Linked DNA regions of Saccharomyces cerevisiae S288C. Changing the gene in region 3 together with the main gene of any one other region gives a genetic interaction. Each region holds a gene or a part of one and is shown on either strand. Other genes may lie near its edges. The genes, in order: DUR3, FMC1, PPT2 and GLO4.

Region 1 (9,914 bases), on a different chromosome or scaffold from region 3:
ATCTAGTGAAACACACTGATGAAAGCTGGAATTCGACATGAACTGGGGGTCCCTGTTCAGTATCTTGTTTATGGATATTTTCAGTTTGGGCATCCCTGATAAATAGCATCTGCACACAATCTCTCCATGTATCAGATTTTTCCTAATCACTCCTTTTTCAAAATCCATCAAGTACTGAACACGTTCAATAACATCAAGAAAGAACTCGTTTTTGGCGTAATGTATCCCCTTTGTTCTCCATGATATGGGCATTATAATCGTCTTCGCAATATCGCCATTGATGTATAAATCATTACCGTCATTGGGGAGCTCGTCATTAGCGGCTTCTTTACCGGTATCATTCTTGTTCCTTAGTGTCTCCTTGACAGTTTCCACCACGTTTATGCCCCTATTTTCTTTATTGTTTACCATTATACTTTTTAATTTACTTTTGCCCACGCTTTTCCCTTTAGTGCCCTTTTTCTTCTTCCTTTTCTTCTTCTTATCCTTCCTCTTATTAGTATTGCTGTACTCGCTATCGCTATCGCTACCGCTACTACTACTGCTCTCTTCACCAGGGCTCCACTCCTCATTGTCTACTGTAACTCTTGGTACGTTGACCTTCACACGAATGTAGTCCTTGATGATACTTGGATCCGTCACTTGTACGATACCAAAGTCTATACATTCATCAATCAACTCCAGGACAAGTAAGATGTTGTCCAGTATGACATTCTTAGTTAAGACCTCGATTTCAAAATATTTTTGTAAAAGATGATAAAATTGTTCCAAAAAGGCTAGTATAGTCATTAAGTCTATATTTGGTTTGTCTGTGGTATGTATCACTGAAACGAAATGCAGAAAGTCTCTCTTCAAATGTATAAAGAACCAATCGTTTTGGGAGAGAATTGGAGGCGACCCGTCATGATAACATTGTTTGAAACTTGAAAGAACCGACGATAGATTCGGTAGTGCTCTAATATTCTTCGATACCAATGGCTCCAGATTTTCATCCAGGATAAAAAGGCTTGACGACATGCCTTTCCTTCCTGATTTCCTCTTTACTATTTTTGGGTCCCTTTATTTGCTTTTTGTCCAAGGCATTCTCAATTTTCCAATCTGGAATTTAAGCCCTTCCAGTTATAAAACAGTAAACACAACCTACCAAAAGCAGAAAGAAACCAAAGTAAGAATACAATGCACAACAAGATTGTTAGAATCGCGTCCAGTGCACTCACAGGGGGCAAACTACTCGAGAAGCTAAAACCCTTGACCCGTTGGGAAGTTCAATGGGACCCTAATAAGACCAAATGTTTGGGAATAACAAGAGAGGTAACATTCAAGGACTACGAAACCACATGGGCCTTTTTGACTCGTGTATCGATGAGATCTCATCTATGGGGCCACCATCCCCTGATTCACACAAGTTACACCTGGGTCAAGCTGGAACTTCATACGCATGACATAGACCCGAAAGACGGGGCTCACAGCCAGCTTAGCGATATAGACGTCCGGATGGCCAAGAGAATAGATTCCTACATCGATGAGATGACAACTTGATAAGGCAGGGCAGGTCTAAAAGGCTATTGCTCTTTCCATTTTTTTTTTCCTATCGATTTTACTACTAGAAATTTTTGCTACCCATACCCATTCTCGCATTGCAACATGGAAAAACTGAAAATTGAAAAAAAAGGTATTGAAATTTCAACTGTATTGTGTAAATCATTTTTGGGCAAACTAGACACAATAACTAGCGAACAGAAAAATGGATAGAACGTGGCTATTACTGACGTGGCTGTTGCTACTCTGTGGGGTAGTTCAAGGGAACCAAGAAAGCATAAATCAAAAATATCACGATGTCTGTTCAGGGATGTATTCCAAGGAGGATTTCAATGGAAAAGTTGACCCCTATATATCGTTTACGTTGGAGGAATTGTCACTTGCTGATGAAGACGATGATGGCGAGGGGGTTAGTGTTGCTGTGTTTGATTTCCAAGATTATGAGCATATTGGTGTGCGGTTACCAAATGGAGAAATTCAGTATATTTGCGATGACTACGCATTGGATTTGGGCCTCTGTGAGGATTCGTCGGAGGGGCAATTTATCATTCAAGAGACAGCCATCGATCCGTTCACCAGTAAGGAACATAAGCTAACGAGTCAGATTTTGACTTTCACTCAACAAGAATTGGGCACTAACGACAAGGTATACTCAATTAACAAAACTGGTTACTATTGTGTGACCACGTCATCTTTCATTTCTTCCAGTTCCAAGTTTAAGGCTACAGTGAATTTTAGGAACGCTTACGGTCAATTGGACGCTTCAGAGGCGTACAAGATGCCTATTTATGCCTTTTTGGCCGTCGCTTATGCCGTCTGTACATTAGTGTACTCTTGGCTATGCTGGAAGCATAGACATGAGTTACTGCCTTTACAAAGGTACATTTTGGTATTTTGTATTTTCCTAACAGCTGATACTATTTTCGTCTGGATGTACTATATTATTGAGAACCAGAAGGGAAACTCCAGCGTCGCTCTTCATGTCTATATGGTTTTCATATCGATCTTTAGCGCCGGTAAGATGACTTTCACGCTTCTCCTCGCCTTGCTGATATCTCTTGGATATGGTATAGTATATCCAAAACTGGACCGTACATTGCTAAGAAGATGTCAAATATTTGCGATATTTACGTTTGCAGTGTGCGTTGCATTCCTGGTCCAAAAATATTCCCAGAATTCTGAGTCTTTATCCAATTTGATTTTGATTACTGCTATCCCCTTAGTATTATGTCTATTCGCTTTCTATTATTTGACACTGTCTTCAATGAACAAAACAATGACTTATTTGAGGGAACAAAACCAAGTGGTGAAATTAAACATGTACAGAAAACTGATCATATTGTGTTATATTTCGTTGTTTATACTCTTCTTAGGCTTACTAGTCTCTACTTTTGCATACGTCGGTATGGACACTGTTGACATGATAGAACAATATTGGAAAACAGAATTCCTCATCACAGATACTTGGCCTAGTTTCGTTTACTTCTTGGTCTTCGTCATTTTCGCATTCTTCTGGAGACCTACAAGTACATCATATTTACTAGCGTGCTCGCATCAATTACCAACTGACATGGAAAATGTATCAGAATTCGATTTAGATGACATAAATTCCTTGTCTGATGAGGCATTGCCTAATAGAGAGCCACGTAATGACTACCAGGAACACGATCACAATATGGATATTGATTTAGCATCCGATTTTGAAGAAGTGCCAAGTGTAAATGCAAATACGAACGCAAATAATGACGTATTGTTCGACGTAGATTACGACAGAGATGCAAAAAATGATAGAAGTACTACATAAACGGACCAAATAACATAAATTTAGAAATTTCCTTTTTTTTTTTTTTTTCCCCTTGACTTTCTTTTCTTTTATGTACCTATAATGAAAGACTATTTTATAATTAGAGCTATTTAAAAATTATTAATGAGGTTGATGAGTGGATAGAATATTATATTTTGAAAGCTAAATTATTTCATCAACTTGTCCGAAATGTGATGATTGTCTATGTGCTCTCGCACTAATTTGGCTTGTTACTACATGCAGATCTTGTGGGTTCGAATTTTGCCATTCCCTTAATTTATAAGTTTGACCAGATAGATCCCAGTAAAGGCCTCGCAAAGTGGTATATATACCATGCCTACCTTCCCAGAGTGGATAAATACAAACGGCAAACGCACTGAAAAAAAGCCAGATGATCATCACAACAACCCAACCGGTAAAGAATTTTTTACTGAAGATATATTTGGAACCATACATGGGCATGGGCCAAACTACCAAAAATGCCAAAGCGAAAAAAACACATAGGAAGTATGCAATTTTTAAACCACGTGCTAGTTCTCTTTGTTCTTCGTCTAATTCATTTTGTAACTGTGTGTCATCTTCTTGAAAAATGGCATTACTTATTACAACACCAAGGTTAGGCTCAATCAATTTTTCATTATTTACTCTAACATCGTTTTTTTCACTATCTGAGACCAGAGAATTTGTTTCTTCTTCTTGTTCCTTATCGTTAGCTTCAGCATCGTAAAGCTGGATATCAGGGTCAGCCTGAACTAACTCTGCAGTTTCGTCAACTCTAGTAATATCTTTCATTTTCTCCCAGTCAAAATTTTGTGGCTTAAACACATACGTTAAAATAGGAATAAAAATGGCTGGTGATAGCAAAGCCACCAAGTTACCTGTTAACATTGGATAATCCATGAACGTAGTATCCACGGTCAATTCTTTATAAAGGGATTTGGTACAGACAAGCCATGACATTATAGCCAGTCCTGTGCCCAAAATAGGCGACACTACAGCGGCCACCAAATTCATGTCTTTGGAACATAAGGTCAAAACGACAGGTAATACTGCACTACTAATAATTATACCCATCATTTCATAGATATAACCCATAGAAATACCACCATAGTATAAACCAACCGAAAATCCACTCATGGCAAGACCAAAAAAGATACAAGCAACGTGTGATGTGTAAATCAATTTCTTACCGCTTGCACGAGGATCAATATATTCTCTATAGATATCGTAAGTGAAAACAGATGAAACGGCAATTAGTTCAGCAGACATAGCAGATGTGACGGCCATGAAAATCATTAGCAGCGATGCCACAGCACCCCCCTTACCCATGATAGCAATTGCAGCTGCCGGCAAGACTAACCCAGAATTTGCCTGGAACGAAGTAAGTGGATCAGGATAGGTGGGGAAGTTCGGAGACGTTTCCACCGCAAGACATGCTAATCCCATGGTCAATGAAATCAAAGAAGGTACTGCAAACCATGCTAACCCACCGATGGCATATGCTTTCAAACTCGCTGCGGGACTAGCAGAAATCGCTTTATTCCAATAACCATTATCAAGGAAAACGGTGCCGAAATTTCCAATCAGGTTAATAATTAATAAAATACCAGCGGATTTGGATGTCATGGTCATATATTCACCCTGATAGTTACCGTCTACTGGATGCCTCTTGGCGGCTTCACGAACTAAGTCATAAACTTTTCCCGGTGAGCCTAAAACATCACTAGTCGCATAAACTTTAAAGGCAAATACGAGGACAATGATGATAATGACACATGTGTGCATATAGTCCGTTAAGAAAGTTGCTTTAATCCCACCAAATAGAGTATAAACAACAACACCCACAGGCAGTAAAAAACATGATGCGATAGTGTTCATCCCGGTTAAATCACTAAAGACAGCAGAACCTGAAGTTAAAAGCATTGAAGTGACTAAAATATTCGTCGCGATGGCATAAAACAAGTAGCAACCATGGCCGATCTTACCATATCTTGTTCTCACTAATTCTAAATATGTGTGCGCATTGGGAGCCATTTGCTTGGTTTTAATTGCCAAAATTGCGAATGCAATAATTTGGAAGCATGCGCCAGCAGCGTACGCATAACCGCCAAATATACCGTCTGCATATTCCTTTGTTGACGACGTTAACAATGTAGAACACCAGATCCAACTAGAAACCACGGCTGCAGCCACTAAGCCGGTTTTTACAGATCTACCGGCGGTGGTGAATTCTTCTGCTGTGATGATTTCCTTTTGATAACGTTTCAGTAAATAAGTGGTCAAAACCATCATTCCTGCAAATACGGCCCCTAGGCCCAATACAATAGCGTACCCAGCGCCTTGAGGTAGCGGAGGTTTAAATTCTCCCATACTATAACAATGACAAATTTATGTTATTACTTTTTCTTGGATGAACCCAATTTAAGAATCTAGACAAGGGAAACTGCTAACAATAGTAAAGCTACGGCTATACTACTGCTTCATTTTATATACTTGGCGAACAAGACGTATCTTCATGCAACACCGATGAATAGAGCACATCTTGCCTGTTATCTAAGGATAACCGTACCGTAGAAAGCGCAATGATGAGTTACACCTTTCCCATAGGTACGCCTGCTTGTTTCTATGCTGCAACTGACTATTGGCCTGTCCACTCTCGAGCATTATTGTCTGTCGCATTTGCTATCATAAAATATCCCGATAAGATAACACCCAAATGTGCGCCGCCTCATTTCATCATCGGAAAAAAGGTGCGGCACCAATAGATAAACAGAATTGGAATGCCTAGTTTGAGTCAGCCTTGCTGCATAAAACAAATACCTGTATGACTGCTTTTGCATCTTTAAGAGAACCTTTGGTCTTGGCTAATCTCAAAATTAAAGTTCATATCTACCGTATGAAGCGCTGATAAAGAGCGCCAAATCTGCACCTTGTGCATTTTGTTCACACATTCTTGGCGCTCCTAACTGGAGAAACGTCTATCATTGAGGATAACTCCGGATAGTCGCATTCTGATTGAATAGCCGTCTAGCTCCCTATTGTGACTAGAATACTATTGACATCGTTTTCTCATCAAAACCTCCCGATAAAGGGAAAAAAAGAATTATCTGACCAGATCATTCGGAAAAATGCGTATCGTCATTGATATCCTTCTTGTCTTGTCTGCTGCTAACACTATTTACTATGGAAAGAGAGATTTCCCTGAAACTTCTTATTTTTATCTCTATAGAAGGGGAAAAGATAAAAGTAAAAATGTAAAAATGTTTACCTGCAAGTTCACACCTGTACATTTTCTACATCCGTAAACATAAGAGAAAAAATGCCACAACTATTTTTATGAAGATAAAGTTCGGGTAACGATAATGTTTTAATTTTGAAAAAAAAACTTCGACGCATTCGCGACTAGCCTCAGAGATTGAGTAATAGACCGTATTGAATTCAAAATAATAGTAAAGATGGGTTATTTCATTCAAGCTCAGCTTTAGATTGAAACTCCTACAAGAAAGCAAGTAAAATAAACAAAAAGGTATATACAAAATGTCTGACTTTCAAAAGGAAAAGGTTGAAGAACAAGAACAACAACAACAACAAATCATCAAGATTAGAATCACTTTGACCTCCACCAAGGTTAAGCAATTGGAAAACGTCTCTTCCAACATTGTCAAGAACGCTGAACAACACAACTTGGTCAAGAAGGGTCCAGTCAGACTACCAACCAAGGTTTTGAAGATCTCCACCAGAAAGACTCCAAATGGTGAAGGTTCTAAGACTTGGGAAACCTACGAAATGAGAATCCACAAGAGATACATCGACTTGGAAGCTCCTGTTCAAATCGTTAAGAGAATCACTCAAATCACCATTGAACCTGGTGTGGATGTCGAAGTTGTTGTTGCTTCCAACTAAGCTGGTTCTAACTGGAAATAATTTCCATTAGATTCCTCTTTTTCTCGTCCATTAACCAAAATATATTATTGAATTCAGCGGTTCCTTTTTTCTCATTTTCGCATATAGCTGCACTATTAGAATCAGCCCACTCTAGGTAAACACAGTTCCTCGATATACCTCTGTCTTACTATCAGTGGTTAAACCTTATGCAAATATAATATATATATATATATATATATATATATCTCATACTTTTGTTGATTCTTGTGTAATTATTGGAAAAGACAAAACAAAGCAAGCGTTTCTATTCATATTTACAAGTATTTTTTATGACAAACTATTTCTTAATTTTCCCACCGGCGGCTTTGAATAAGGCAATGTCATTGTCCTGCATAATATATTGTTTGCCTGCACGTTTGATAAGTCCCTTAGATTTTAGTAAAGACTCATTTAGCGGTGGTTCCATCTTCTTCAGATCGTCATATTTTATTACATCAGCGCTGATAAATGTTTCACGCAAGTCGCTATGGATTACACCCGCGGCCTCTTGAGCGGTGGTTCCCTCCCTTATATTCCATTGGTGAACTTCTTGTGGGCCGCATGTAAAGAAGCTAATTAAGTTCAACAACTTTCTCATTTCTAGTATTATTTGCGGTATCGCAGAAACTAACTGTTGATCAGAAACATTGGTATCTTCCTTGATCTTGTCAAAATACTCTGACGCTATGCCTTTACATTCCATCAATTGCGATTCAAATTCTGCACTGAAAAGTAGGAATTTATCTCCTGGCGAAAATTCGTTAATCCATTCTATAATATTTCTGACAAATTTATTTTCATTCCTAACGTAATCTTGAGGTGAAACATTTAGCAATATCAAAGTTGGTTTGGAGGTTAAAAAGTTATGCTTATTCAAAATTTTGACTTCATCCAGGTTCCAATGATCTTTGAAATGCCGGATTTTTTTACCGTTAAACAAATGTTCCTCTAATGCATCTAATAATTCTGTCTCTATCTTCATTTCCTGATGTTCTTTAGAATTCTTCGAAACCATTCTCATCTTCTTACTAAGTCTTTCCCTAATGTTTTCCAGAAATTCTAAGTCTTTCAAGATGAGTTCATCTTGTACCACGGATAGATCTCTGACAGGATCAACATTACCTTCTATATGGGTGATGTCTTCCTTTAAGAATCCTCTCACCACTTGAAATATCCCCTCTACGTGTCTGATATCGTTTAAGAACTTGTTACCCAAACCATGGCCTTGAGATGCGCCTCTGGTGAGCCCAGCAATATCATATATTGTGAGTGTTCCAGGTACGCATTTCGCACTCTGATATATTCTCAATAAATTAGAGAGCGGCACGCTAGGTATATTGACTTTGGCACATTCTGCGTCAATGGTAGCGAATGGATAATTTGCAGGATTTCCCAATTTTGAGTTTGTTATTGCTTGGAAAAAAGTCGATTTACCAACATTAGCAAGCCCTACTATCCCTGAAGTTGGATTATTCGATATCCTCCCAAGTAAAAATTTTCCTCCACCAATGTTCATATCCGATTATTACTTCTCTTTATTCTTTTATATCCATATGCTTCAAACTATACAATTAAATAGATGCATTAAGGTTTACAAATAAGCATATCTCATTAGATACGGATGGGAAAAATCAAGAATCATGCAATGAATTATAATGCTCACCTAATGCATAGCTGTGTTTATAGTAAACTAGCTTCAATTCAGGATTTTTCCCACATTCATTGTACACTTGAATAGGTCTTCCACTCATCAGAATGCTAATGGGGCAGTCGAAAACGTGAGAGAGAGCCAAAATCTCAATTTCACCACCCCATTGAGCTGTATGCTCCATCTCTTTCGTATACTCATCAATGTCTTTCATCTTCATAGTTTCTTCATCAAACAAATATGGAATGAAATCATCCCTGTGCTCCTGTACGTAATTACAACTCAACCATCTCAGCTTCATGACATCCATGTCTTGATCCAGTTTTTTTGGATCATGGCGTAATTTTAACTGATCTAATATAGATGCAAAGAGACAGTGGCCATCGGGTTGTATATCGAATTGTTTCAGTTTCTTCAACTCGCATAACTGATCTATAGACTCCTGCTCCATTTTTTTCAAGTCCGGTTGTTTGGATGCTTCTAAAGCAGCCTCTTCTTTCATTTTAGCAATTGCTGCATCTCTTTTGGCCAATCTTTCCTTTTGTCTATTGCGACGCTTCTTTGTCTGGCCTTGTTGCTGTTGTTGAACGGGAACATTCTGTTGTTCTTTCTCATCTCGAGATATGGATAGTTGTTCTAAAAGTTTTTCAGGAGTCACTTCATCTTCTTGTTCTGCGTCAAACACTTCATTATTTGCAATTTTCCAATCCCTTATTTCATTTTCTTGCTTAGTCTTTAGTTTATCTTGAAGATCTAGGCATTTCGAATTAACTTCTTTCCTTTTGGATTTAGTAGCCTGCTTTTTCATACCCGTTATCTTATTCTGTAAATCTTTATTTTCCTTGCGATGTCTCGCCAAAATATCTTCCATGTTTTCCAAATTCTCTCCTGATTCCATGCCGGTCATGATGAATATCTCTTGTTCTCTCTACTAGATTGAATGCTGTGCTTTAGTTGGATTTTGTATTAGATGCTTTCGAGATGCCCAAACTAAAAACA
Region 2 (7,545 bases), on a different chromosome or scaffold from region 3:
ATGAACAGCTTACTCGTATCTCTCTATTTGATTTGGACAATAGCTTGAGCAAACGTTGGCAAAACAGCTGCTCTGAATAATGGTCAGCAATTAAATTTGCTTTTTTTGCGTACGGCTGTTCAGATATACTATTGTTGGAATAATAATCAATCGTCTATTGACTAATGTTTTCATACGTATTATTACTGCCTTCATGAAATAAGTAACCCTAAATTTTTATCACAACATTCTAATGTTCTTCATTTTCTGTAAAGAAAGAGCAGGACTGTGGCAGAATAGTACCATTTTCATCAGCAAATGTGAGGCTATGCCATTATTTGCGAATGCTATGAACCTACTGCGTTGCATTCTCCAAGGTTCCCGCTGGGTGGGTCGCCACTAACTCTTCCGTGTGGCCGTCTATTGCTGATGCATTCAAACCATAGTCACCTGCGATAGGGTTAGTTGTGTAAGAGGTAAAACAGTGACCAGGTGTTAATTCTTCCCAGTTCATCAACAAGCTTGCTGAACCATTGCTCATTATAGTTGTTATACTGCAGGAATATTTCATCTCGATATCTACTTCTTCCAGAAAAGAATTTTTTAAACAATAATAGACCTCGAATCGCTTCAATTTTTTGAACTTTTCCACCTTTAGCATCTAACTTGGTTCTTTAATTACGATAATTCAGGATATGCGCAAGCCACCTACAGATTATAGAAGCAGTCGAGTACGAATCACTGTGACCGTCATCCTAGATAAATAGTATAGCTTGATGAAGAGTACTGAACCAACAAGTACGAGCTTCTATGGCCAAGTTGGTAAGGCGCCACACTAGTAATGTGGAGATCATCGGTTCAAATCCGATTGGAAGCAATTTTTTTCTTCGGCACGTCATACACCTTGTAATGAGTGTACTAATTCTCTCTTCAAAAAGATCATTGTATGTTTTATGTTTTGTCTGGAAAAACATATAGTACGGATATTTTTGAAAAACTTTGAAATAATATGTAAATTATGTAAAAAAATTAAAGAACCATTATAAAAGAATATTACCAAAAATGTAACAGATGACATTTTTATTGTTTTGAGTTTGTTTTAAATTTGAAATTGTTCAGTGAATTGTTCGCCCTTGGCGAAAAAGAGGTGTCCATATTGGTATTTGTATTATGAGCTGGTCGTTGGTTTTGTTGCTTATAAACTTCGCTAGCATATTTCAAAAAATGATAGTGATCATCACCATAAGGTTGAGGGAAAGTGGGAGGAGCAGGCGCGATTGGTGAAGAGGGGACGTTGTAGTGTCTTGGAGACTGGTACTGAGAAGGAACTGGGTGAATGTGGTCGTAAGTATAGTTTAGCTGCCGCTGTGGCGACGAGAGCTGGTTTGGTGGGGGTAAAGAGTATCTTTGCTGTGGTATATAGATATTTCCCGGATATGAATACCGGTGACCGTGGGTGTTGTAGAAGGATGCTAGGTTTGACAAAATTTGCACCGTTGGATCTCTTGGCCCTATTGGAGAAGAAGTTTGAGAGGTGTATGTGGACGACTTTTGCCTTTTGCTGTTTTTTTTAATGAAGTTCTTGTCATTTGAGGAAAGGCCCAAGTTTTCTACAAATGAGTCGAATGAGGGCAAGGCGTCCTCAATAACAAGTTTCTGCGCTTTGGAATGGGACATGGAAGTAGATCTTTGTCTTGGCCTGGGTCTGGGCTTCTGCCTAGGTCTTGCCACTGCAGTAGACGTAAAATTGGTACTTGTATTAGCAGCAGCAGTAGCAGCAGTAGCAGCACCTGCACCAGTGGTAGAACTAGCAAATGTAACGTTTTGATGAGCCAAATACCACGATTCGCAATCTTTGGGGAAATCTGGACCAAAAATAGGCACCAGAAAGTATCTGATCGGAAAACAAAACCGCAGGCATAGCAACCTTGAGATTTCCATCGGCAACCAAGTACCCTGAATTTTGATGTAACCACCTCTTATTCTTTTCGTAAAATTTGCCGGATTTAAGTTGGGCAAGTCTATTTGGTCAGGACCAAGTTCATTGATCAGGAAGTCTTTGTAAGACTGGCAAATAAGGTCCCGCAGTTCGGGCTTGATGTTGTTCCAATGAAAATCGATGTAATTGTTTGCCTGCGTTGAAGAAGTAGATGAAGAAGACGCATTGGCGTCCAAGAAGGTAGACCCTGTGGATGTCCGTCTCTTTGGCGGCGAAGAGGTGGAGGACGACAACAGTACGCTTGAAGATTCCTCAGAAGTGAACGAACTGTGATTGTAAAAGCAAAAAGATAGAATTTTCTCGAATTCAGCCTTGCAAAAGAACTGCTGTTGGCTAGTGGAAACGCTGTCACCTCTGGGCAAGTTTATAAGCCCCTTCATAACATCCTGATACAGCCGCCAGATGCCCGTCATGAACACATAGCCGGAGTCATGCGACCATATTACGCAGTTGTTAGGGTTGATGAGCTTGTCATTGATCAGATTATGGTCCATTTTGGTCAACTTGAACTGCTGATTCTTTGTCAGCGAGGAGGTGGCATTTTCACGCGATGCTGTTGACAGAGCCTTCTTTTCTTGCTTGGTGGGTGATGCTGAGACTGGTGTTTTGTTAGACCGGGAAGGTAGTATGATCTTACCCATCAGAATATTTTTATCGTGCAGATGCAAGGCGGAGTGAGGAGTGGCGGAGCTAGCGAGCTGCGATAGCAACGTTTGTTCGTGGACTAGGCTCTGAATTGTTTGTAGGTTGGGAAACTGGTACTCGAAGCAGTTCAGAACGTTCTGCGCCGCCGCCTCTTCCCCGTTCCCTGCGTCCCGAGCACTGATAATGAAGTTTGGATGTGTGAACTGCGCAGCAATGGAGGATTTATAGTTAACCTTTCTAATATTGAGTCCGGCGCTGAAACTGGCCGGCGGCGAGTCCCTATCCAGTACGCTGACGAGGTAGAGACGCTGATAGTCGTCCAGGGGGTTGTCCGTTAAGTGTACCGTGTCACTGTTAATGCTAAAAGCGGGATATTTCATGTTGGAGAAGGTGTCTATGATAAGGTATTTTGAGCTTGCCGTTGTGTGGGGAGAAGAACTGGATGCGTACCGAGAACGAGCAAGTTAAAACACTAGTACACGAATAATAGATATATATATGTATGTATATATATGTTGAAGTGTGTACACACGTACACGCACAAGCTACAGACGCCACGCGGCCCGGCATTCATATATGTACATACATTTATGCACATATATATATATATATATATGTATATGTAAATGTATATATACAGCTTGTGATTTCGCGCGCCGAATGGGCTGAAAAGCACAGTATAGTGGAGAAGAAGAGAGAGGAGAAGGGGAGAGGGGCAATAGCAATGGATGTGGTAGAATACAGGGAAGGCCAAGCTGTTGTTCAATGGATGCGGTTCGAGGCCCAGCGCAAGGGGGGCGCTTCGAAGCATAGAACATTATCCGCGGAAACGGGTATTAGGGGTGAGGGTGAATAAGGAAAGTCAGGGAAATCGGGCCAGAGTAACACCCATTCATAGCACTCGTACAAGGTGCTTTTAACTTGCCTGCATGTGTGGAGTCACAAATTAGGGGACTCAGGCACAGAAGCAAGGGTCCTTTTTTGGTTCCCTGTTTCCTCCTGCGCATTTCGTATTTTTTCTCATCTCTTGGCTCTGGATCCGTTATCTGTTCTGTTACACAAGAAATCGTACATTTACAATATAGTGATAATCGTGGACTAGAGCAAGATTTCAAATAAGTAACAGCAGCAAAATGGCAAGACAAAAGATGTTTTATAACAAATTACTCGGCATGCTCAGCGTAGGATTCGGGTTTGCTTGGGCGCTCGAGAACATTACTATATACGAATTTGACTTTGGCAAGGGCATTCTCGATCAAAGCTACGGCGGTGTATTTTCAAACAACGGCCCTTCGCAAGTGCAGCTGCGGGATGCAGTCTTGATGAATGGGACAGTGGTATACGATTCAAACGGCGCTTGGGACAGTAGTGCGCTGGAGGAATGGCTCCAGGGACAGAAAAAAGTTTCCATCGAAAAAATATTTGAAAATATTGGGCCCAGCGCCGTGTATCCGTCTATTTCGCCTGGGGTCGTGATTGCGTCACCATCGCAAACGCATCCAGACTACTTCTACCAATGGATAAGGGACAGCGCGTTGACGATAAACAGTATTGTCTCTCATTCTGCGGGCCCGGCAATAGAGACGTTATTGCAGTACCTGAACGTTTCATTCCACTTGCAAAGAAGCAACAACACATTGGGCGCTGGCATTGGTTACACTAACGATACAGTGGCTTTGGGAGACCCTAAGTGGAACGTCGACAACACGGCTTTCACGGAAGATTGGGGTCGTCCTCAAAACGATGGGCCTGCTCTTCGAAGCATTGCCATCTTAAAAATCATCGACTACATCAAGCAATCTGGCACTGATCTGGGGGCCAAGTACCCATTCCAGTCCACCGCAGATATCTTTGATGATATTGTACGTTGGGACCTGAGGTTCATTATTGACCACTGGAATTCTTCCGGATTTGATCTATGGGAGGAAGTCAATGGCATGCATTTCTTTACTTTACTGGTACAACTGTCTGCAGTGGACAAGTCGCTGTCGTATTTTAACGCCTCAGAACGGTCGTCTCCCTTTGTTGAAGAATTGCGTCAGACACGCCGGGACATCTCCAAGTTTTTAGTGGACCCTGCGAATGGGTTTATCAACGGCAAGTACAATTATATTGTTGGGACACCCATGATTGCCGACACATTGAGATCCGGACTGGACATATCCACTTTATTAGCTGCGAACACCGTCCACGATGCGCCATCTGCTTCCCATCTTCCGTTCGATATCAATGACCCTGCCGTCCTGAACACGTTGCACCATTTGATGTTGCACATGCGTTCGATATACCCCATCAACGATAGCTCCAAAAATGCAACGGGTATTGCCCTGGGCCGGTATCCTGAGGACGTATATGATGGATATGGCTTTGGCGAGGGAAATCCCTGGGTCCTGGCCACGTGTACCGCTTCAACAACGCTTTATCAGCTCATTTACAGACACATCTCTGAGCAGCATGACTTGGTTGTCCCAATGAACAACGATTGTTCGAACGCATTTTGGAGCGAGCTGGTATTCTCCAACCTCACGACTTTGGGAAATGACGAAGGCTATTTGATTTTGGAGTTCAATACACCTGCCTTCAATCAAACCATACAAAAAATCTTCCAACTAGCTGATTCATTCTTGGTCAAGCTGAAAGCTCACGTGGGAACAGACGGGGAACTAAGTGAACAATTTAACAAATACACAGGGTTTATGCAGGGTGCCCAACACCTTACCTGGTCCTATACTTCATTCTGGGATGCCTATCAAATAAGACAAGAAGTTTTACAGAGTTTGTAGACAAAAAAAAAAATAAAAGGAAAGCGAGAAGTATACACAAGTGTATTTCCTAGATATTTACATCAAATATATATATATACTTATTTACAAAACTCTGATATTATAAATTGATTAGATACTATGTCGGAACGTCCAGCCCAACCACGTTTGCAGTTCTTTTCACTTTCTCATCCTGTGTCAACTTGTTGCCAGGATTGTATCTGTCGACCAGCTCCTCGTATTCTCTTTGGTTGTCCAAGAACTTGATGATGTCCAAAGCGTGTTCGAATATCTCGTCAACGTTTTGTCCCTGGGCCACCTTTTTCTCCCACTTTATATCGTTTTGTAATATGGAACGTAATGACTTAGAGTCGGCTATAAACAAATTCAAAGATCTGTCGCTTACCGGATCTAGTTTTTTCCATTTCTCTAACTGTCTGTTGATGTTCTCATGCGAGTCTCTCTGATTTTGTTTCTTAGCATATTCCAACTTTGTTATCATTGCCTTTCGTAGATTGCCCCAATTGACTATCTTGCTTGGCCTTTCATATTTCAGAATGGCTCTTATGAGTCCTCTATATGTGCGTAATGTTCTTGGTCTATCCATTTCCCTGGCACTCTCTCTTTCTCTCTCTTTTCAGCTTTTTGTTATCCACTTATCGCTGCAAATGAAACTCTAGTGCAATTTGAGATATTCACTTTTTGCAAAGGCGAAGAGAAGGGGGTGGTTAAATCTACAATTTCATACATAAAACAGAGAAAATGATTATAAATTATAGGAAAGTAGGTAAGCCATGGCAGAGAAATCAATATTTAATGAGCCTGATGTGGATTTCCATTTGAAATTAAATCAACAATTATTTCATATTCCTTATGAACTACTGTCCAAACGTATCAAGCATACTCAAGCGGTAATTAATAAGGAAACCAAATCACTACATGAACACACGGCCGCATTAAATCAAATATTTGAACATAATGACGTTGAGCACGACGAGTTGGCACTAGCAAAAATAACTGAAATGATTAGGAAAGTTGACCATATAGAAAGATTTTTAAATACGCAAATCAAGTCCTACTGTCAGATTTTGAACAGAATTAAAAAAAGGCTGGAGTTTTTCCACGAACTGAAGGACATCAAGTCACAAAATTCAGGAACATCGCACAATGGAAATAATGAGGGTACCAGGACTAAATTGATACAGTGGTATCAGAGTTATACAAACATTTTAATTGGTGATTATCTGACGAGGAATAACCCGATTAAATACAACTCGGAGACAAAGGATCATTGGAACTCTGGCGTAGTGTTTTTGAAACAGAGCCAACTGGATGATCTCATTGATTATGATGTCCTCTTGGAGGCTAATAGAATTTCGACTTCGTTACTACATGAGCGTAATCTCTTACCCCTAATTTCATGGATAAACGAGAACAAAAAGACACTGACCAAAAAGTCCTCTATATTAGAGTTTCAAGCAAGATTGCAAGAATATATTGAACTACTAAAGGTGGATAACTATACCGACGCTATAGTATGTTTTCAAAGATTCCTTTTACCATTCGTTAAGAGCAACTTCACCGATTTAAAATTAGCATCTGGACTTCTGATTTTTATCAAATACTGTAATGATCAAAAGCCAACTTCTTCTACCAGCTCTGGATTCGATACTGAAGAGATTAAGTCTCAAAGTTTACCAATGAAGAAAGATCGAATATTTCAACATTTTTTTCACAAATCTTTACCTAGAATTACCTCCAAACCTGCGGTGAATACAACAGACTATGACAAGAGTTCCTTAATAAATTTACAAAGTGGAGATTTCGAAAGATATCTGAATTTATTAGATGATCAAAGATGGTCGGTATTAAATGATTTATTCTTGAGCGACTTTTATTCCATGTATGGCATATCACAAAATGACCCTTTATTGATATACCTGTCACTAGGTATATCGTCTTTGAAGACAAGAGATTGCCTGCACCCTTCTGACGATGAAAATGGAAATCAAGAGACGGAAACTGCCACAACAGCAGAGAAAGAAGTTGAAGATTTACAACTCTTTACGCTACATTCACTAAAAAGGAAAAATTGTCCCGTTTGCAGTGAGACTTTCAAACCAATAACACAGGCATTACCATTTGCTCATCACATTCAGT
Region 3 (5,439 bases):
ATTGCAGCACTAAATCACCATAAGAATAGTAGTGGAAATCCTAATAAGATTCAAGGTGTTTCTAAACACGAATTAAAGAAATTAATGGCTTTGGCTGGCAGAGTACACGGCGAATCGAAGATCAAGAATAGAGTTGCCAAAGACGGTCTAGTTAAAACAACGGCTGGCGACTTATGGGGTGAAGAATCCAATTCAAAGAAACAGAAGGTCAAATTACCTTCCGGTATCAAACTTGATGTGGAAAAAAAGGACCAGATACCTGAAGAACTATTGAAAAAATCCACGACAAGTTGGTCTACTGCTTCAGTCAGACCAAGTACTTTAGATATAGAGCCAATTGCAGTAAAAGAATTCACAGAAATTCCACATGCTGGTAAATCCTACAATCCCAACAATAAAGCTTGGTCAGAATTGATAAACAAAGAGTATAAAGAGGAAAAGGCAAGAGAAGATGAAAGAATCGCCTTGGAAAAGTACAAAGAAAGAATTAGACATTTAATGGAAACTTTAGATGACAATGAAGAGGAAGAGTCTTCATCAAACGAAGAAGAAGAAGAAGAAGAAGAAGAAAATGAAAATGAAAATGAAAGTACGCAATGTAGTGGATCTGATAAGGAAATAAAACTATCAATAAATAAGCCTGTGAAGAATAAAAAGAAAACAAAATATCAAAGAAACAAGGCAAAGAGACATGAAGAGAAAGTAAAATTGCAACAAGAGTTGAAAGAATTGAGACAACGTGTTAAAGATTTAGAAGAAGTTATCAATTCTGAAGAGACTGAGATACTTTCAGCCATAGAGTCAGATAGCAACAAGGTTAAAAAAAGCAAGAAAAATAAGAAACACAAGTTAGGGACGAAATACTCTGTGATTGATGAAAGATTGGAGATTAAATTTTCTGACGAATTATCTGACTCATTGAGAAAACTGAAACCTGAAGGAAATCTGCTATATGATACTGTGAGAAAACTACAAAGTTCTGGTAAGGTCGAAACAAGAGTGCCCGTTAGGAAAGGTAGAAAGTATAAGCAGAAAATCACTGAAAAGTGGACACATAAGGACTTCAAATAGAGTTTTTTGTTTTACAGTATATGTTTCCATGAAAAGGTTGTCCTTGATACGTGGATTCATCAAGTGAGATATATATATATATGTTCATATTTGTGTTGGCAAGACCAACAACTGTATAGTAGGTAACAAATTGTTTCATTTTCTTTTCGTTCTCTGCCCTTTTCTAGTTTGAGAGGGCATTCCCATGTCGATATCTCTAGATATCAGTTAAACATTCAAAAGTACAAATTCAGTTACGGAAATAATATATAAATTATATTCGCTAAATAAAATCTCTCCCTTTCTAGGGTGTTTTCAAATAATTTCAAGCTTTTCCCGTAGCTTCGTCCTCTCATCTTCCCAACCTTTTACTCTTTCTAGTTTTCTCTCCAATTCCTCAATCTCGTTGTCAATCGACGTGATTGCTTCATCGGTACCAACTGCCTGTAATTGCCATTTGCCATCTCGATTTTCACCGATCTCTAGTAACATTTCATGATATTTGATTAATGTGGGTCTTTGTGATATGGAAATGAAATTGAATCTGTATCGTTTTAAAAGATTGAACAGATAGTCTTCCATGTCAACACTAATTGCGTTTGTAGCCTCATCTAATACTACGTATAGTGGTTTATGAAACATGATTCTAGCAAAATTTACTCTTTGCTTTTCACCACCACTTAATAAGTCCTTCCAATCGGCAATGGCATCTAGGTAAGTTAAGCCAACGCCTCTTTTTAAAAGATAATCTAGTTTCACTTCGACTAATATCTGTACTAGCTCCTTATCTCTAAACCCCCTATCAAAGAATTCATCCGAGGACATGGGGTATATAATTTGGTCTCTTAAAGTTCCACCTCTACTAAAATATGGTTTCTGAGGAATAAAAAAAATATTATTTTCTGAAGGAATCGACAATAATCCATTTTTGTTATACACTGGCCATATTTCAGCTATAATGCGTTGAATTGAACTTTTACCGCAACCATTTGGCCCTAATATTAACAGGCTGGAGCCAGAACCCTGCAAAAATGGTAACTTTATATCATTTGCCTTCGATAAGTCTTGTATAGAATTGGACTTTGAAGTTATTGGGTCAATATGCAAAGGAATTTGAAATGTAAGCTTGTTAATCAGCTTTATGCCTTCGCTCGCCCTTACTGATGGAATGATTACGTCTATATTTTCTAACCGAATACCGTTAAAATTGCGTTGAATAGTACCACGAATAGCATCTTGCGAATTATCCGTGGTGGGTAATAAGTTGGAATTTCTGGAAGCGTCTTCTGTACGTATTGACAGGATTGAAGGAACAGCGCCGTAATTAAAGTTCAGAGAGTGAACCCTGTGTAAGACGGAAAGCAGAGTAAATATCCTATTAGTGTAGCCGGTCAATTGTGAGATGTCCTTTATCGAATGCATCAATCTCGAGCCTGCATCTGCAAGCGACAACATCAACCTTTTGTTGACTATAAATTCCTTCATATTTTTTTCCTCTGAATTGATGCCTGTCGCTAAGGTAGACATAACGATAGGGATTGAGGCAAAAACATAACCCAAACCGGACCATGTATATTTTAAAACATAGTCTTCCAACATATTGTAACCAAACTTGACTTTATCAACCAGCAGCATTTTTTCCATCAGCACATCATACAACTCTTTAACTTTCGTCCTTTCCACTGCTGTTCCTTGGTAAAATGCGATCTCTTCGCTATTATTTATCATGTTTAGATGATAATTGTAGTAATCGCCGTCTGAAGCAGATCTCTCGCCTGCCAATTTACCTAATGGTGGCGTGTATTTCCTCAAAATAAACCCAGTAATGAAATAATTAACAAATATACCTGCTACTCCCACAGTTCCCAAATTATCACGTAAATAAACCGAAAAGAATATTAAATCAATAACTGGCTTTGCAATGTTTGCAAAAACGGAGCATGTCGCATCGCAAAATTTTGCAACATCATTAGTAATGGAGTTGTCGATATTCTTGATTACCGAATTGGACGCCTTTGCATCAAAAATTAATTTGTAAAATGTTAGTCTTTTATCCAAATACATGTCATGGATGTAACGTGTCAAATTTACCCTAAAGTTTAAACTCAACTTCCTTTGAAGTAGCTTAATAGCACTATTAGTATAAGAAGCAGGGACAGCAATTAAAAACCAACACCCTAAGTCCCACAGAAAGCTTCTTCCTCTACCAGCAATTATATTTTTGACTATTTGTCCATCCAGCTTGGCTACAAACAAAGAGAGCCAAGTTCTCATCACCAGGAAAAAAATTTGAGCAGTTAAAAGAAGAAAGTTTTTGTCAAAAACTGTTGGAATTAAAATTTTAGACAAGACGTTCATTTGGTTTAAAAATTTTGAGTAGAATAACTGCGAATTCTTGGCTCTTTCCAGTTCTACATTTTTAAAAAGAAACTTATCGTGTTCATATACATCGTTATCCTTTGGTGGAATAAATATCCTTTTCCTTTTTTTTTTATCTGTAGCATTCATAAATTTGTTGTCATCGGGACTCTGGCGGTCGACTAATTCCACTTCAGGAATATACATTATTCTTGCACCACTGTCTAATTGCATTTGAGATCTTGTTCTTCTTATTAAAGGTCTCCTATTCCTTCTCTTCCATGGAAACTTGTAAAATTTATAACATTTTAGAATAATTTTGAAAGTACTATATGTTACACCAGAAAAAAGTGTGACACCAGATAGGAAAAGCGATACCAATAAAATCTGGGCCCTTCTTCTTAGCTTAGGATGAGCAGCGTTTGATCTAGATATCTGTAGAAGATGCCGTATCAATAACTTGAAATATACTTTAGGTGTGACATCGTTAACGTGTAGCCCAATACAGTGAGTATGTAGATTCAGGAGCAAACTCTTTAGTTTCGCTGGTGCTGCTAATGTTGTTGACATTTCTGTGTTATGCGTTCTAAGACTTCCAGATTGTCTGAAACGGGTTTCATTGTTAGTCTCACTTCTTAGAGAAGCATTCTTATATATCTTGACTCTAAAAGGGCTGAAAATAACCGCCGAAATTAAAAATTGGGGTAAAAAAGGGTAACGAAACTTATGCGGTTAAGCCCGATCAACATATAGCTGAATATTGCGTCAAGAATAATTTCTTAATCGGGATTATTTCCGAAGGAAGAAATTCTATTGAAAAAAAAATCTTAACATCAAAACTGCTTATATACATTCCACAGGTTCAAGCGGTCATAAGAGATCTGACTTTTGATAGAAAAGCTAGTTCTTTAAGAAGGCTGAATAGAAGCTAAGCACTATTTTCTTATCAGGAGTATTGCTTTCTAATGAACGTTTATTTCATAAGTGCTAGCTTTGAATGCCTCCAGTGATGAGTTTTGCATCGAGGAATATTGGACGTAAGATAGCAGGAGTGGGAGTTGACATTGTATACTTGCCAAGATTTGCACATATACTAGAGAAATATTCCCCATTCGACCCATGTGGCCGTTCTACCTTGAATAAAATAACACGGAAGTTCATGCATGAAAAGGAAAGATTTCATTTCAGTAATCTTCTCATCGAAGAAAACTGCTTAACTCCACGATTGCATGAATATATAGCGGGAGTTTGGGCTTTGAAGGAATGCTCATTGAAAGCGTTGTGTTGCTGTGTTTCAAAGCATGATCTACCTCCTGCCCAAGTACTGTACGCTGGAATGCTATATAAAACACAAACCGATACAGGTGTACCTCAGTTAGAGTTTGATAAGATGTTTGGAAAAAAGTATCCAAAGTATCAACAGCTCTCGAAAAACTACGATTCTCTCTTTTCCACTCATGAGTTTTTAGTTTCGCTATCCCATGATAAAGATTATTTAATTGCAGTAACAAACTTGGTAGAAAGAGAGTAAAAGTTTTCTTGCAGCCGTATAAATGTGGCCCTATTTTCAACGTCCAAGTTATTTTCTGCGATATTTGAATGACACTTTTAAATGCGTATATAACAGCTCTTAGAGCTCAGAGGAAGCTTTATCGCCGCCTTTTATAGGAACAAGAGTTATGTACAAAAAGCCATCAAAACTTCGCAATTTAGAATACAAATCATACAGGAGCATATGCCAAGGAATTTCAATTCCTTGACAAATAACCATGACATCATTACCATTGATTCCTTCCTTTACGTCCAGAATATCGCCTTCAATATCCTTCAACGTAGGATTGACTCCAGTCATACTGATAGTTGGTTGTGATATTCGAAAAGTTCCTGATGTCCTTGAGGTTTGAATGATGAGCGGTATATGTCGCGGTCTTGATGAACTTATCTTGTTAGATATTTCAATGAAATCTTGGAAATTTCTCGTAATAACACTGCCCCAAAATTTTCGAGCTTCGTTGACCGATAAAGACATAA
Region 4 (3,043 bases), on a different chromosome or scaffold from region 3:
TTTGATTTGGCAATATCGTTTTGCTGGGGGTGGCTACTTAACTAGTCTCAAGCTGTTTATTTGATCGACTTCACAGCTCAACGCTATCTTCCCTCCAAGCCCTTACTTGCTAAGATTAATTTTAATAGGAAAAGAGAGAGACTCAACGTCTGTGATGACAATAAATCGCTGTTCAATTTTTTGAACACTATATAAAGAGAGGGCCATTCATTTTTCTCACACTTTCAATCTTAAGTTTCTTCCCATTTTCCTCCTTCTCTTTCTTCTTCTTTCTTTCCTAAAACCTCGGGAATATAATACTAAATACTCTGTTATATAGAACTTTCTACGCCTTTTCCTCTATGGCTATGAAAGCGTGGACAACGGAGACAAATAGACCAATTACTGAATATGGCTTTTGACATATCTTCTTCTTCATGGGTGAGGATTAAGCTGATATCCTGACCCACCTATCATTAGTCCTTCAGACATACTTTGCAAATATTTAGACTGCATGCCAGTTACATAGCGTTTTTAAGCTTTCTTAACTCTTGCATCACTACGGATCTGGGATAAGTCCCAGCAGTATCGCCGACTGCTAGTCTAACGGCACGATCATCCAATCTCATGAATGGGTTATAACCTAGTTCATCTCTCAGGGTGAAGTGACCGGTGGTGCACTCGTTAGATTTGCAATACTGTTCCAACGCATCAAACTCCTTGTTCTGCCCTATATCGGAATAGATTTTTGCTCTGATAAAGCTAACATTGCCTTTGGTGTACTCATGACCAGGGTATATTTTAACCTTATTCCAGTTCGTCTCACCAACAGCCCTTAACATTATCTGGTTTAAGGCCATGTCCATATCTCTTCCTGTGCCCTCGAAAAACCTCCCACAACCGGCAATGAATAAAGTGTCGCCTGTGAAGATGCACTGCTCACCTGTTTCTAAATCTTTGATATAATAGCATATGGAATCTTTTGTATGGCATGGAGTCCTAATACATGTTACTCTTAAGTTACCCAAGTGATACTGCTGCAAATTATCGGGTACTTCAGTGACACCCGGGGAGGACTTAGATCCACCAATTATTTTAATATCGTGACCTGAGTTTTCTTGGCACAAGATACTATAAAGCGCTAGGTTCCCCCCCGAATGGTCATAATGGTGATGTGTATTGACAATAGCATCAATACTTTTTTTCTCTTCGGCGCTTAATTTTGGCGACACCTCAAGTGGTTCTGCAGGGTCAATCAGCCATGAGTTTCTCCTGTCTTCAGTGCTTAGTAAATAACTATAATTGACACCACCTGTCAACCATCGCATTTTTATAGGCTTAACATGCATATTTCTTATTTGCTGCAGTAAAAACTTCATGCCGAAAGAAATTTGCTGCACCAAAGAATGAGTAAATCTCCTCTTTTCAGTACTTCCAGATTAGTCTTCAAACAGCTTTTGAGTTTTTAAAATATAAACCGCCTCTTAGTTCATAGGCAGTCTCCACGCGATGCCGCCACTTCTCCAATTTCTTGATAAATAAGGATGCTTCCTACATTCAAAGATTTCAAGCTATTCACTAAAATAACACCAATAATTCGTGGGTAACCACATTTGCAAATTGTTGATATATAACAGGCTAACTTCGGAGCACGCTCTTTTATCTGGTTGTATTATTGCCGTAAGGGGCAATAACGGTATATAAAAATTTAATATTAAATAGGAAAAGTAAAATACGAATGGAGGTAGAAAATAGTAATATTCTAGGAAAGAAAATGCTAGGAGAACAAATGATACCTGATTTTCACAATTTTATGACGAAGTTTCTCCATTATTTTCATTTTCGTTTTCAATTTCGCCTAGGATTTCATTTCGAATTTTTTCTTCTTTCTTTAATAGTTAGGTTTTAAAACCACCACTTTTCGTCAAATCAACATCTTTGGATTCAAGTTTCTCAACTAACTTGAGTCGTTGTAGTTCTTGCCACCTTGTCAGTTGAGCTTGTTTATGTAATTCAAATCCAAATATTTTTGGAACATATCTTTTAGTTGGGTGTTTGGGTACCATATCTGGAAATGCTTGCAAAAACATACCTGGAAAACTTGTTCCAAAGTATGCACCATCAATGGAACTATGTCTCGATGATTTTGGTATATAAAGATCCTCACAAGATGGACAATATAACTTGACACAATCTATACCAGGAATGTCATGCAAACCAACCGGTAACAACTGTTGTAAATTACAATACACACGGGGACATCTTCCAAAGTCCGCCTCTTTGTACTTAGCGTACATTTTTTGCAATCCTTTGATAGTTATAATGTAGCGTGCATGGATGAGACCATACAGCTTCCGGGAATCTGATTCTAATTGTTCTAAACGGGCATGTGTCATATTCTCTAGGATACTATCATCCAAATCATCCACAATATATTGTACCACGTAGGAAAATTTTGAAACTGTCTTTTGCAAGTTCATCAGATTAAAACGATCAGTGATGTACTCAGGATCGACATCACAGAAATATTCATGGCCTTTTCTCCCAAGAAATAAATCGATCCACATATCCACGTATTCCGATGAGTCAGAGTCATCATCCATGAGGACATCATCTTGTTCCACTCTGGAGCCTTCTCTAGTCACTGTTCCCACATTCTCCGATCTACTGCCCATGATCTGCTTTTCTATCAGTTCTCTAAGTCCCTTAATCTTGAATAATTTGAAAAAAGCTAGTATTTCTCAAGTAAAAGATTGATGAAAAAATACAGCAGGAAAATTCCACGTATCTGGAATGACCAACTTCTTTAAGAATGTGATTTACTTATTCTATTTGGTGCTTGTTTTCATTTGATAAAGGATTGCCAATACACCTCCATTTATTCGCTTTCATATTTTTTCTTCCTGGAAGGTCGACAAAAAAAAGCGCGAAAAAAATATCAGTTAATTCGGCTAGAATTATGAAGTCTTCATAAAACAATATACAAAAAGTGCTAAATCGTCCATACAGAGGAATACGCCACGCAGCAAAGGAGTTCCTACACAATCCGGAACAATGAGATTAT

The links.
Region 1: mutations in PPT2 (region 3) and DUR3 together harm fitness more than expected from each alone (negative genetic interaction), as found in Saccharomyces cerevisiae (3 studies listed by BioGRID).
Region 2: mutations in PPT2 (region 3) and FMC1 together harm fitness more than expected from each alone (negative genetic interaction), as found in Saccharomyces cerevisiae (2 studies listed by BioGRID).
Region 4: mutations in PPT2 (region 3) and GLO4 together harm fitness more than expected from each alone (negative genetic interaction), as found in Saccharomyces cerevisiae (2 studies listed by BioGRID).

Annotation. Positions count from the first base shown.
Region 1 is NC_001140.6:68,532-78,445, forward strand, and holds DUR3 (Dur3p), read right to left. Parts: upstream 5,714-9,914; coding exon 3,506-5,713; downstream 1-3,505. Other genes in the region: APM2 (Apm2p), read right to left, coding at 1-1,017; MCO14 (4a-hydroxytetrahydrobiopterin dehydratase), read left to right, coding at 1,177-1,539; YHL017W (uncharacterized protein), read left to right, coding at 1,745-3,343; YHL015W-A (uncharacterized protein), read left to right, coding at 6,168-6,251; 40S ribosomal protein uS10 RPS20, read left to right, coding at 6,881-7,246; YLF2 (Ylf2p), read right to left, coding at 7,566-8,783; deubiquitinase OTU2, read right to left, coding at 8,899-9,822. UniProt on the Saccharomyces cerevisiae protein: Required for active transport of urea.
Region 2 is NC_001141.2:174,248-181,792, forward strand, and holds FMC1 (Fmc1p), read right to left. Parts: upstream 5,993-7,545; coding exon 5,525-5,992; downstream 1-5,524. Other genes in the region: YIL102C (uncharacterized protein), read right to left, coding at 335-640; XBP1 (Xbp1p), read right to left, coding at 1,060-3,003; SGA1 (glucan 1,4-alpha-glucosidase), read left to right, coding at 3,757-5,406; glucose-induced degradation complex subunit FYV10, read left to right, coding at 6,180-7,545. UniProt on the Saccharomyces cerevisiae protein: Needed for the assembly of the mitochondrial F1-F0 complex at high temperature.
Region 3 is NC_001148.4:271,794-277,232, reverse strand, and holds PPT2 (holo-[acyl-carrier-protein] synthase), read left to right. Parts: upstream 1-4,417; coding exon 4,418-4,939; downstream 4,940-5,439. Other genes in the region: NOP53 (Nop53p), read left to right, coding at 1-1,071; ATP-binding cassette long-chain fatty acid transporter PXA1, read right to left, coding at 1,366-3,978; ATG5 (Atg5p), read right to left, coding at 5,039-5,439. UniProt on the Saccharomyces cerevisiae protein: Transfers the 4'-phosphopantetheine moiety from coenzyme A to a Ser of mitochondrial acyl-carrier-protein.
Region 4 is NC_001147.6:405,379-408,421, reverse strand, and holds GLO4 (hydroxyacylglutathione hydrolase GLO4), read right to left. Parts: upstream 1,359-3,043; coding exon 501-1,358; downstream 1-500. Other genes in the region: casein kinase 2 regulatory subunit CKB2, read right to left, coding at 1,878-2,654; HIR2 (Hir2p), read left to right, coding at 3,034-3,043. UniProt on the Saccharomyces cerevisiae protein: Thiolesterase that catalyzes the hydrolysis of S-D-lactoylglutathione to form glutathione and D-lactic acid.